2 linked regions of the Neodiprion lecontei genome follow. The protein of the gene in region 2 interacts with the protein of the main gene of each other region in a pairwise test. Links are inferred from orthologs where the notes say so. Each region holds a gene or a part of one and is shown on either strand. Other genes may lie near its edges. The genes, in order: trimethyllysine dioxygenase, mitochondrial; GTPase Era, mitochondrial.

What was found.
Region 1: the proteins of GTPase Era, mitochondrial (region 2) and trimethyllysine dioxygenase, mitochondrial interact in a two-hybrid assay, tested with the Drosophila melanogaster proteins (2 studies listed by BioGRID). The link is inferred for Neodiprion lecontei from reciprocal best matches to the Drosophila melanogaster genes CG7488 and Tmlh.

Annotation. Positions count from the first base shown.
Region 1 is NC_060262.1:1,985,783-1,992,319, reverse strand, and holds trimethyllysine dioxygenase, mitochondrial, read right to left. Parts: upstream 4,344-6,537; 5' UTR 3,773-4,343; coding exon 3,760-3,772; intron 3,695-3,759; coding exon 3,604-3,694; intron 3,530-3,603; coding exon 3,414-3,529; intron 3,331-3,413; coding exon 3,116-3,330; intron 2,967-3,115; coding exon 2,749-2,966; intron 2,686-2,748; coding exon 2,461-2,685; intron 2,358-2,460; coding exon 2,084-2,357; 3' UTR 2,082-2,083; intron 1,540-2,081; exon of another isoform or gene 1,357-1,539; coding exon of another isoform or gene 1,051-1,356; 3' UTR 789-1,050; coding exon of another isoform or gene 667-788; 3' UTR 613-666; downstream 1-612. Other genes in the region: uncharacterized protein LOC107226935, read left to right, coding at 72-282, 383-573, 667-773, 1,051-1,356.
Region 2 is NC_060264.1:3,220,700-3,225,115, reverse strand, and holds GTPase Era, mitochondrial, read right to left. Parts: upstream 2,327-4,416; 5' UTR 1,936-2,326; coding exon 1,699-1,935; intron 1,621-1,698; coding exon 1,186-1,620; intron 1,107-1,185; coding exon 747-1,106; 3' UTR 619-746; downstream 1-618. Other genes in the region: sulfotransferase 1C4, read left to right, coding at 90-184, 256-567.

The sequences.
Region 1 (6,537 bases), on a different chromosome or scaffold from region 2:
AACTGCGTGAGAATCAATAATATCTGATTAATAATTACAGTCTAAATTACCGTATTCGTAAATTTTTACAGAAATTATTCCGTACATCGCAACTGAAAACGGTATAATGATACCGAGACCACGTAACCCAGTGAAACGTATCGAAATAGATAGTCCTATACAGGAATTACCCAACACTGAGAACGTGAAGACATGGTCCGAAGGACCGATTAGAATTCTTGCTCCACCTAAGTTGGCTTGTCAGGAGTGCGAGGAGGACATAGATGAGCTTGAACATTACCCGTAAGATTACCCGTCGGTTTTTTGGTCGTAGAACTAATTTCGTACAATGATTGCTTCGATTGTTATATGACCGTATGGTGTAATACTTAATAATTTACAGCGGTGAACAGAAATGCTTGCACTGCAAATACTCGACGTGCTGTTGGCGAGCTTTCAAGGAACATCAGCAACAGTTTCACAATGCTAGACCACTGACCGGCTTAGCAGTACTTTCACCACTGCTGAACATACCCTTGGAAAATAAAATGCAGTGTCCTTGCGGTTTTTCGTCGGTTGATGGAAACCAATTAGGTATTAACGTATATTCATTCATTTACTACTGGTTTGAGATCATTTTTTATATCCAATTTTATATTCTGATAACATCTTTCGGTTCTTTTGCAGCGACGCATTTGATCAAATGTAAAAGGATATCAGCTTACCCTACCGAGGATTCCGAGGCGACTGGAATGTTAGACAGTTTGGGATTGGTTCCCAAAAATATTCAAGACGTATGGGTGTTGTAATATTGCAAAATGTTAAATGATGCAGGGAAACAAGTTCCGTTTCAATTTTTTTTTCCATTATCCTTATGTGCTGTTTAACCACTACTGGATATAAATATAGAATAAAATAAACAGTATTCGTTAAATCTGGCAAAATTTGATCTACTTCATTTAAAATTAGCTTTTTGCTGAAGCAAAGCAAAAATTCTTCAGATATAAAAAAATTCAAAAATATGAAAGGACTAATTATTATGAGGTACATGTAAATGTTGTGGTTTTTAAGGACCTGGAAGGTACAAACAGTCTTCATCAAAAGCCACCCAGGATTGACAGAATGGAAAACCGACACAACGACGAGGAGAATTCTGTTCAGCCATTGACTTGTGAAAAAACTGACGGAGATTTAGCGATGCCTGATATTACCGTAAGAACAAATATGGAATTGAATTCTACTACTGGCATTAATGGTCGTCGGGCAAAAGCGTCTACCTCTACATCAACAAGGTTCGAACCTTCCCTAGAAGACAATTTGCCAGAGATCGTTGAGGACAGACTCTTGCCATCATCTGGAAAGAAAAAAAAAGTCTGATGTCGAGATCTCAAATATTGTGAAGTGAGGATTTTAAGGGACGTGAAAATTGAGTCTAGCAAATTTCTCGGTAAAACCGGTAGACTTCGTGAATAGTGTTTACGTTAATTTTACGGTATTTCGATTAACTAACAATAAGTATGAAAATAAAACTGAGTTTTGAACGACTTTAAGCTTCGTTAATACCGTTCGTAATCGTTTGCGTTTGCACCTTTTCTTTTACGAGTTACAGATTAGCCAAGCACGACAAGCTTCACTGAATAAGAGAAGTTTCCAAAGCGTGATGCCATGTATAATAACTGTTCTGATTTGTTTCCCAATTGTATAATTTCTTGTAATTTTTTCACAGACATTGAAAATTAGAGACTATATTATTACATACGGTAGAAAAATTTTGCAAACGTCGTTCGGCGCGATGTATCGAAACATATTATAAAAATTTTCGATACTCAAGATCATTCTAGAATTACCTATGCGAGACCCAACGTTTTCGAACATACTACCGATAGCAAGTACTAAGGATAAATTTGACAATGTATCGATAAGTATGTTACGATTAATCCTAATAAGTCTTTCTTTTCTACCACACACGTTATATTTCCGTTGGACATTGGATAAAAATTAATAGAAAAAATTTGTCGTATCATTACGTAGTGGGCTGATTTCTCAGTTAATTCGCTTGCTCATCTGTTGAAAATTAATTGATCATACACACTCGTGCATACCTTCAATTATCAAGCAGACCCATGACTGCAGCTCTACTTCGCCAATCGGTACGTGACACGTAACCACCAGCAAGTAGTCTGGAACCAGAATACGCGGTCCGGCCATGCATTACTCTCCAGTTGTCAATGAAAATTACTTCTCCAGGCGAAAGTTTCACGCGGGTTTCCCCCTCTTTGTCGGCCACAATAGCAGCTATGAGGCGCAGATCGTTATAGTGTTGCTGTATCTGATCACGAGGAAGAGTTCTCAGCACAGAACGATCGTAGAGATTAAATCTGTGATAGGGATTTGATATTTTTATTTAATTTGATTTATTTTTACTTCATTTCGCTGCTCCCTCTCGATACAAGAATGGAAAATTCTAAGAGACCAGCCAACCTGATTTGCAAAAGCTCCCTAGTGACGGGGTGGAGTTTCAGGATCGGATCCACGTGCGTATGGTGCTGACCTTCTTCCACATAGGTCGCAGAAACCGGCATCCGCGTCAGTCTCTCGTAAGATTCCGGATACCTCTGTTTCAGCTGCATACTAACGTTCAGGCCATCTACGAGGAGCGTTTCTCCTCCGATTCTCGCAGGCTCCAGACCATGAAAAACTTGCAGGCTGAAATTTGAAAGCTCGTTGTCTGTGGGATGTTTAAAAAATTTCAAAACACCTCTTACTTACCCTGCAGCGTCGCACCAGTAAGTATTGTCTGTATGAGCACCAAGGGCGATGCTTGTGTATGCAGTGTCATAGTGCGGCTTTATGTCGGTCTCCGATGCGACTTCACTGGCATCGGCAATTTCCTCGTTATGAACTTCCCACATTTCGCCGAAAAAAGTTTTTTGTACAGGCGCCATTCTGGTTATCAATTTTTCGGTAACGGCGAGAGTAGCTTCTACCTGAAAAAAGCGTTCAGCCTCGTCATTCACAGAAGATAATGAAACGGATGGTCATTTTTGTGAAGTGTTTCTATTACGGTAACATCGGTATTAAAAACCTAAAGCTTCATACCCTTCATGTAGCATAATGTAATGATTGTTGTACTCACACCGGTGACAAACGCCACTCCATATCTCAGCAGGGACGAAAGAACCTCGGATAAACCTGCGTCCGTGTTCATGTAGGAATTCAATTCCACCCTTGCAACATCCGGGAGCTTGAACCAAGGAACAGGGGTAATTTTTCGCTCTTGGTTGTCGCCCAAAAATCTAGCATTCTTCACCAGCCAAGAAATTTGGTATTTTGATCTGTGACCTCCGTCCCCTTGAAATCGAGACGATATGACGGTCATGAAACTGTGCGAGCATTGCCTGATAGATATTTTTTTACGCATTAAATAATCTTACAAATGACGTCGAGCACTCCGTCAGAGAGATTGTATTCACGAGGAAATACATCCGGGGGAAAATCGAGAATACTGAGCTTGCGCTGATTCGTTGTATCATTGTAGCATTCGGCACATCTGGAAATGTTCCAGAGAATCGTTATTATGCGTAAATCGGTCCGATTTCATTGGCTAATTCCACTTATTCATACCTGCAATGATCGCGCAGCCACTGGTGGAAAATTGTGATTGGCTCTGCATTCGGGATTTCGAGTTGAAATCCATCCTTCAATAGGGAAATCTCTGAAGCATTGAAGTATTTCGTACAGTATCACAGCGTATAGTAACGAAGTATTTGATAAGTTTACCTGCTTTTTCCATTGACGCAGATGTCACAAATGATCAACACACACACACACACCAAGCGTGTAAAGAAACGTTGATCTATGGTCTTCTCAAGGCAACACGACGAAGTGACAGTTGGAAATGATTAGAATGGACAGCGACCCTCTAAAAGTATAACTCTGCTTATCGGAAGTGTAACTGACACACATGGGCGGGGTTATCAAAGCGTGTAGAATATCAATAAAACTTTGTATCGTAATGCTAATAATTATATTGCAAACAGTACAAAGATTAAAATGCATATAGTTTGCTCGGACATGATTTTGAATAATATGTCCACAGAAGATAGGGAAACAGCGAAAGAGAGTTTTAGCTGTGATAGAATTTCAAATCACAAAATCCAGCTACCGTTAATTCATACGAAATTCATTATTTAAGATATGCTATTATCATATTTTACTTATTTTTAACTTTTAACATTAAAAAAATACATATTCGGTCTGCGTTATTACAATAAAAACTTGAATTAATGAACTATCCTCCACTCATTTCTTGATCCTAATATAGGTTCACGGCCTGTTGTTTATTTATTAATTCGAAATTATAGTTAATAATCTATCAGGCCCATGACTGTGGCTCTGCTTCGCCAGTCGGTGCGAGCCACGTAACCGCCAGTAAGAAGTCTGGAACCTGAGTACGCAGTCCTGCCATGCAACACCCTCCAATTGTCTATAAAGACTACTTCCCCAGGTACAAGTTTTACCAGGGTTTCGCCACTTTTGTCGGCTATGACGGAAGCGAGGAGGCGAAGATCGTGGTAATGTTGCTGGATATGATCGTAAGGAAGAGTCCTTAGCACAGTACGATCGTAGAGTTGAAACCTGTGGTCGAAAACGGCGGATGCGAATTACTTCATTTGACAGACTTTTATCGTGACAATACGAAACGGTACAAACTGTGAACAAAGTTAACCTGATCTGCAAAAGCTCCTTAGTGACAGGGTGGAGCTTCAGAAGCGGATCCACGTGAGTGTGATGCTGACCCGGATCGATGTAAGTTGCGGAGATTGGCATCCGAGTCAATCTCTCGTAAGATTCCGGAGACTGCTGTTTTATCAGCATACTAACGTTCAAACCATCCACCAGGATCGTCTCTCCTCCTTTTGTCGCCGGTTTCAGGCAGTGGAACACTTGTAGCCTGAATTTTTTAAGGGTGAATCATTCGAACCGTCTGCATGTACTGCGGTCAAATGTTGCAGGAGAAGAAAAATAGCGTTTAAAAACTTATCAGGCGTGTTATTTGCACGAAAGATAGTAAAAACGAATGCAGCTACATTCTTACTATAAAATCATGAATTTATACGAATTTTAATAACACAATAGATGTAAGGTATTAGCAATTGGAGAAAAGGTTTCATAGCCGAAACGTTCAAAATGATTCGACTTTGGCGTCTTTTATTAGATTCGAATGTTACCGAGCTTATTTTATTTTAACCGTAGAGACCTGTAGAGATTACCGGAAAAACGTTTTACAAGTAATCATCACCAGAGTGGATGAGATAATTTCATTTGTGCATGTATAACTGATCGTACTGCAATATAAGATTTCTCGAATTTTTCTCAGGTAATTTTCGACAAATGACCCCAAAACATTGGAATCGGTTAAACAACCAACAAAGTTCAACCACCTTGCACACTGTAATTATAAAGCCTAATTTGCTCAAATTGTTGATACCATAGCCTGTGTTATTTTAATTGACGCAGATTCATTTCGATTAAATAATAAAAGTATTGTTTCATTCGCGTTGACTATCATTAGAGTAAATAACATTTCTGGAAATTTCGTAACGGGCGTGTTTTCTGATTCTCAATTTCCGGATGATGTAGGCTGTATGTATGAATGGCATTTCCCTACATCTCAATCGCAAAACGACAGGACATTCGAGTAAACCTAAATGTATTTGGTTTTTCAACCCTAAAACCATATATCTGTGTACTCTTTACCCTGCAGCGTCGGACCAGGACGTATTATCCGTATGAGCATCAAGATAGTTGTTCGAGAAGGCGGCATCCAATGGCAGTGCAGTATCAAGTTTCGGAGTGACGTCACTGTCGTCTTCGAACTCGCCGTTGTGAATTTCAAACATTTCGCCGTAAAAAGTCTTCTGAACTGGCGCCATTCTGGTTATCACTTTTTCCGTCGCGGCTATGGTGGCATCCACCTGAAAAACGCAACATGGGGTTAAATTACATTTTTATCACACGTGCATGAAAAGTGCGGGACTCTGCGTAGCAATTTAGCGAGACGAACAAGTAGCCAATTTCATCTGTGCTGTAGATATGGGTTTGCGCACGCGCAGCCCACAGTTGACTCACTTTCGCCCCTAGGGAGAAAAAATTGACCAATCACGTCCCGCGACACTGCCAAGTAAGGCCCACTGCTTTTCATTCGCTTGTCATAAAAACTACCGTGTGTGCGTGATTTCACACTCGTCGCAACCGCCAAATTTCGGCCCTTGTAACGCAATATATTGTTCTCGTAAATTACAAATACTTGGCTTTTTCCGAACCCCATACTCACATGAGTGACAAACGCTACTCCATATCGCAGCAGGGATGAAAGAACCTCGGATAAACCTGCGTCCGTGTTCATGTAGGAATTCAATTCCACCCTTGCAACATCCGGGAGCTTGAACCAAGGAACAGGGGTGATTTTTTGCTCTTGGTTGTCGCCCAAAAATCTAGCATTCTTCACCAGCCAAGAAATTTGGTATTTTGATCTGTGACCTCCGTCCCCTTGAA
Region 2 (4,416 bases):
ACTTTCTTTGCGTTTCGGAAAATTCTCCAGGAACTCCAAGAAAAAACTGCCAAGTCATTAAGCTTTTACCGTTGACTTTCACTTTTTAGCAACGTGGTCACCGTACTGGGAACATTTGAAGGAAGCTTGGGCATTGAGGACACACCCGAATTTGCTTTTCCTTTTTTACGAGGATATGAACATGGTATGTTTCATAATTGAGCAGTGCTCCACATCCACATATACGGATGATTAACTACGATTTCACCGTTGTAGGATTTACCCGGAACCATTGTGAAGGTTGCCAAATTCTTGCACAAAAGCCTGACGAGGGAACAGATATTCAATCTGGTTGATTACTTGGACTTCAATAGTTTTCGGCAAATTTCAACCGTAAACGGGACAGAATTGAAAGAGTGCGGCGTTATAGCAAATACGAGTTTCATACGGAAAGGACAGACTGGAGGATGGATAGATACATTTACACCCGAGCTCGAGGCAGATGCGGACGAGTGGATAGCGAAAAATCTCAAGGACACGGATTTCACTTTCCCGAATTTCAATAATAATAATATTATAAGTATATAACGGCCGATTGTACAATGAGCAGTTGGAGAGGAAAAAATTGGTGCCACGAAATCGAAATCGAATCATACGCAGTTGGTAGACTTTATTGAACTACCAAGGAGTGTACAAGGAGATATAAAAGAATAATTGATACTTTGCTATTACTATATACACGCTGATGCTATCATGTAATTGTATACTTAAGTTACTCTTTTTGGCTGGAAAACCAATCTTACTCTGACGGTCTGTTGAAGATTCTTACTTAGTGTTTGTTCTACCTTTTCAGCCATATATCTCAACTTGCTTTTCAGTTTGCGAAGAATTAGCTTGTACAATCGCTCAGTGGGACATTCGATCAGAACAAAAGTATTGATGCTTCCATCCTCGCAAACGTTGTAATATTCCATCTGAATGTTGAGGTTGTATGGGATTTCTGCTGGAAGAACATCTAGGAGGCTGGCACGTACAATACGTATAATCATTTCTTCTGGTTTTTGATCAGTTAAAGTATCTTTTTCGTAGTCCCAGTCTCGAGGTTTTGCCGAAACAAGGAGGTATTCCTAATTTCCAGCATGAAATTAATCAATGTTGAATGAAATAATCTATGGAATCATAGGATTTTAATAATTAATTACTTACCCTTAAATCCGACACTCCGTCCCCATTCAATGCAGACAACATAAAGATATCTGCAAAGTTTTGCCATCCATTTTCACCAGTTAAGTGATTAACAAATTCTAACAACCTTCGTTTATTCTTTATCTGATCAACTTTGTTCATTAACAATAAAGTTGGCGTATCAGAATCCAACGTCTTCAACAGGTTTAGTACTTCTGGAAGTATCTCTTGTCTAAGTCTGGATCTGGATACATCGTGGAGAACACCTACAACATCTACCTGTTTTAGGGCGACTTCAGGGTCACTTTGGAAGCTACTCTCCAAGTTGTGACGTTTGACTTCTTGGGTCGTGACGACACCAGGCGTATCTACAAACACCAACTCTGTGGTGTCTGTGTGTAGGACGGCACGGCATGCCATACGGGTCGTGTGCTTCCTCATTGACGAGGCACATACCTGGTTTACAGAGGAGAGGTTAGCGACAGCAACAAATTTAATTGGTCTTTTTATGCAATTTCAACGCTTTCCTTGTACCTGATGATGGATTAGCTGGTTGATAAGAGTACTCTTCCCCGCGTTCGGTAGCCCCAATATCGCGATTCTCAAAGATTTGAATTCTTCCCTACGTACGTTGCTGAAATCATCGTCCGCTGAAACCGGGGCATCATATTTCTCAAGTCGTTCGGCGCTGTATAACCTAGCTACTTGTACAGGGGTGCTCCGTGTACTCGACGTTATAACTCGAATCAAGCATCTCCGGAACAAGAACATTTGGATCTCGGTGAGTCACGTATTTATAACAGTCTTTATACTGACCAAGCAACGGTGTAAATTGGATTACAAAGCTCACAAATCACCAAAAATCTCAGCATGTTTTGCTATTCGTACGTGTATGTATGAACGTAACGTGCCTACAACGTCGCTGCCGTCGGACCGGCACGCATGACTGGTGAATGACGATCAACAGTGCAAATGACAAGTCGCTAGAGATCAGTGGACAAAGGTATTTGCAGAGATTTACGGGACCGAAAAACATCTTATCCAATAGTACTTTCATAATGAGTCTAATGACCAAATGCATTCGTTAATCGTATTTCCGAAAGGAGTTGTTGAAAACAGTACTTTAGAAACATCTGCGAAGAATCGATTGAAACGGCGACGAGAAGATGGCGCGCGATACGCGGAAACGCTTCTGGAATTCGTCCGCTTCGGGGGCTTGGATCATATACTACTGAGGTAGTTTCGCGTGTCAGATAGTGTATCGGAGGAGTGAGAGAGAAAGGTACATGTGAGTTACAATCTGTCTCTTTTGCTCTACACCTGATTGGCCGATACGTTTCCTCTCAGCCAATAAAATGCCGAGTGAGAGAGACGGAGTAGTTCTGATGTATGTCTCACATTCTCATCACTTCAGCTGCATTTTTCCCGAGGTCGATGGGATGGGTAGCTCCCTCCGGTAGTATATGCTCTAACTTTGGGGGTGAGTAAGAGGAAAGATGGCGCATGCGCCCTGAGGCGCCCCGCGCCACCTTGCGAGTAGTCTGGTCTGTGGAAGTGATCGTGAAAAGCTTCTGAACGTTTGTGTATCCCGGTTGTCGAGTGATTTTCAGTAGTTCGAAAGCGTTCTGACGCCGAATTGTCGTGATTACTGTGAGTATTGACCAGCCAGTTTGACACAGCATACATTTAGCGGTAGTTTTAGTCGAATATATGCGATAATCCGTAACGTTTTCATCGCCAGACGTCAACGGGTCCTATCAAAATGGCCGTGGTCTGCGTATGTACAACAAAACGGTTCTTTAATTTTTCTCGCGATTATATACACACGAATTTACTCCCAAATCGCAACCGTTGAGATTTATTACCTCCGGGCAAAAGGCCTGAAAGAAAATTATCTCCCTGCCTCTCCCCGCGCCCCCGATCGGCTGTCAGAGGTTTGCGAACAAAGTTTCACGTCTCTTCTTGGAATTGATTTTTTCGCCAAGCTATGGCTTGCGCGGTACGTTGGAATTGCGATGACCGTCTATCGAAAACGTGTTACCGAGCTCTTGGTCCGTAGTTCTGTCGATCCAGATCAATTCCGCGTTCGCAAAGACTCTCGCTTCACATCCATTATCGATCCGAAACGTCGAATCGGAGTATGTATGCGTTTTAATTTTGACAGCGTATAGCCTGCCCTCCCACCCTCCCCATTGCGACCTGTGATCAGCTGTTAGTGCTGTCAACGTGCGCGTCTCGCGGTTCGTCACCAACGCTATGTTACCATGTTTTTTGTCGCTTGCAAAAATCTTTTAAATTTCTGCGCAGCATCAATCACACCGCGGGATATCTCTCATCAAGTTACAGGCTCTTCGATCAAAGAAATCCTCCCTCATTAGTGGAACGTAATATTTTTACGTTATTCCTCGGTATGTATGTATGTATGTATGTACCTCAAAAAATTCTCCCGCGAATGATTATAACAAGTGTGCGATAATAGCATCATCGAAACAGTTGTAAACAATGAAAGGATATTGTTTCGTGTCGCGATTTACTCGCCATTTTTTAAAAATTATTTCTCCTCTACCACGTGAAATGAATCATAGATAATTCGCAAGCTGCTGATAGTAGCCGCTTCTCGCTTCAAGAATCAGCTCCTTTTCCGACCGCGGTGCCGATTATTTCCAGCGCATCCGATGTTGTCGGATAGGTATTGATTGTCGCGTGGCATGCGGGGGCGACGACTAGGCGCCCGTCTTCGGAGACTGCGACTTATCAAGGTCTCCAAATTTCAATGTTTACTCGAGAATTTACGATTTCCGCATACGTCCACGTCTGGTTTTCAATTTGCGTCTCGTGCATCTTTGGCATCGATTTTGCACGCCGTCTTGTCAAGTGTATAAAAAATTATGGTATACAAAAACCAAGATTTTTTGTTGGTGAAAATTGTATCCGGTCCTCCTTTGTGAGACATTTTTTCACATTTTATAACTTCATATTACGCACTTACGAATGCCTGCCTTCAGCACGTGGGCATTGGACATAAGATATAATGGTCGCGCTTCCGAGACTTGAGAAAAGTTAAACGGCACGCACACGTGCGAAACGTGTGCCAGCAGTACAGAAATCGTTCCGTTCGCTGCTAAAATTCTTGCATGACGTAAGAAGAATCGGTGACGCCGAATAGCGCTTTTGTCCCACCTTCCCGGTTACTCTACTCATTCGGTTTTAATTTATGAATTGACGGCGATGGTCGATAGTCTGATGGTGGTC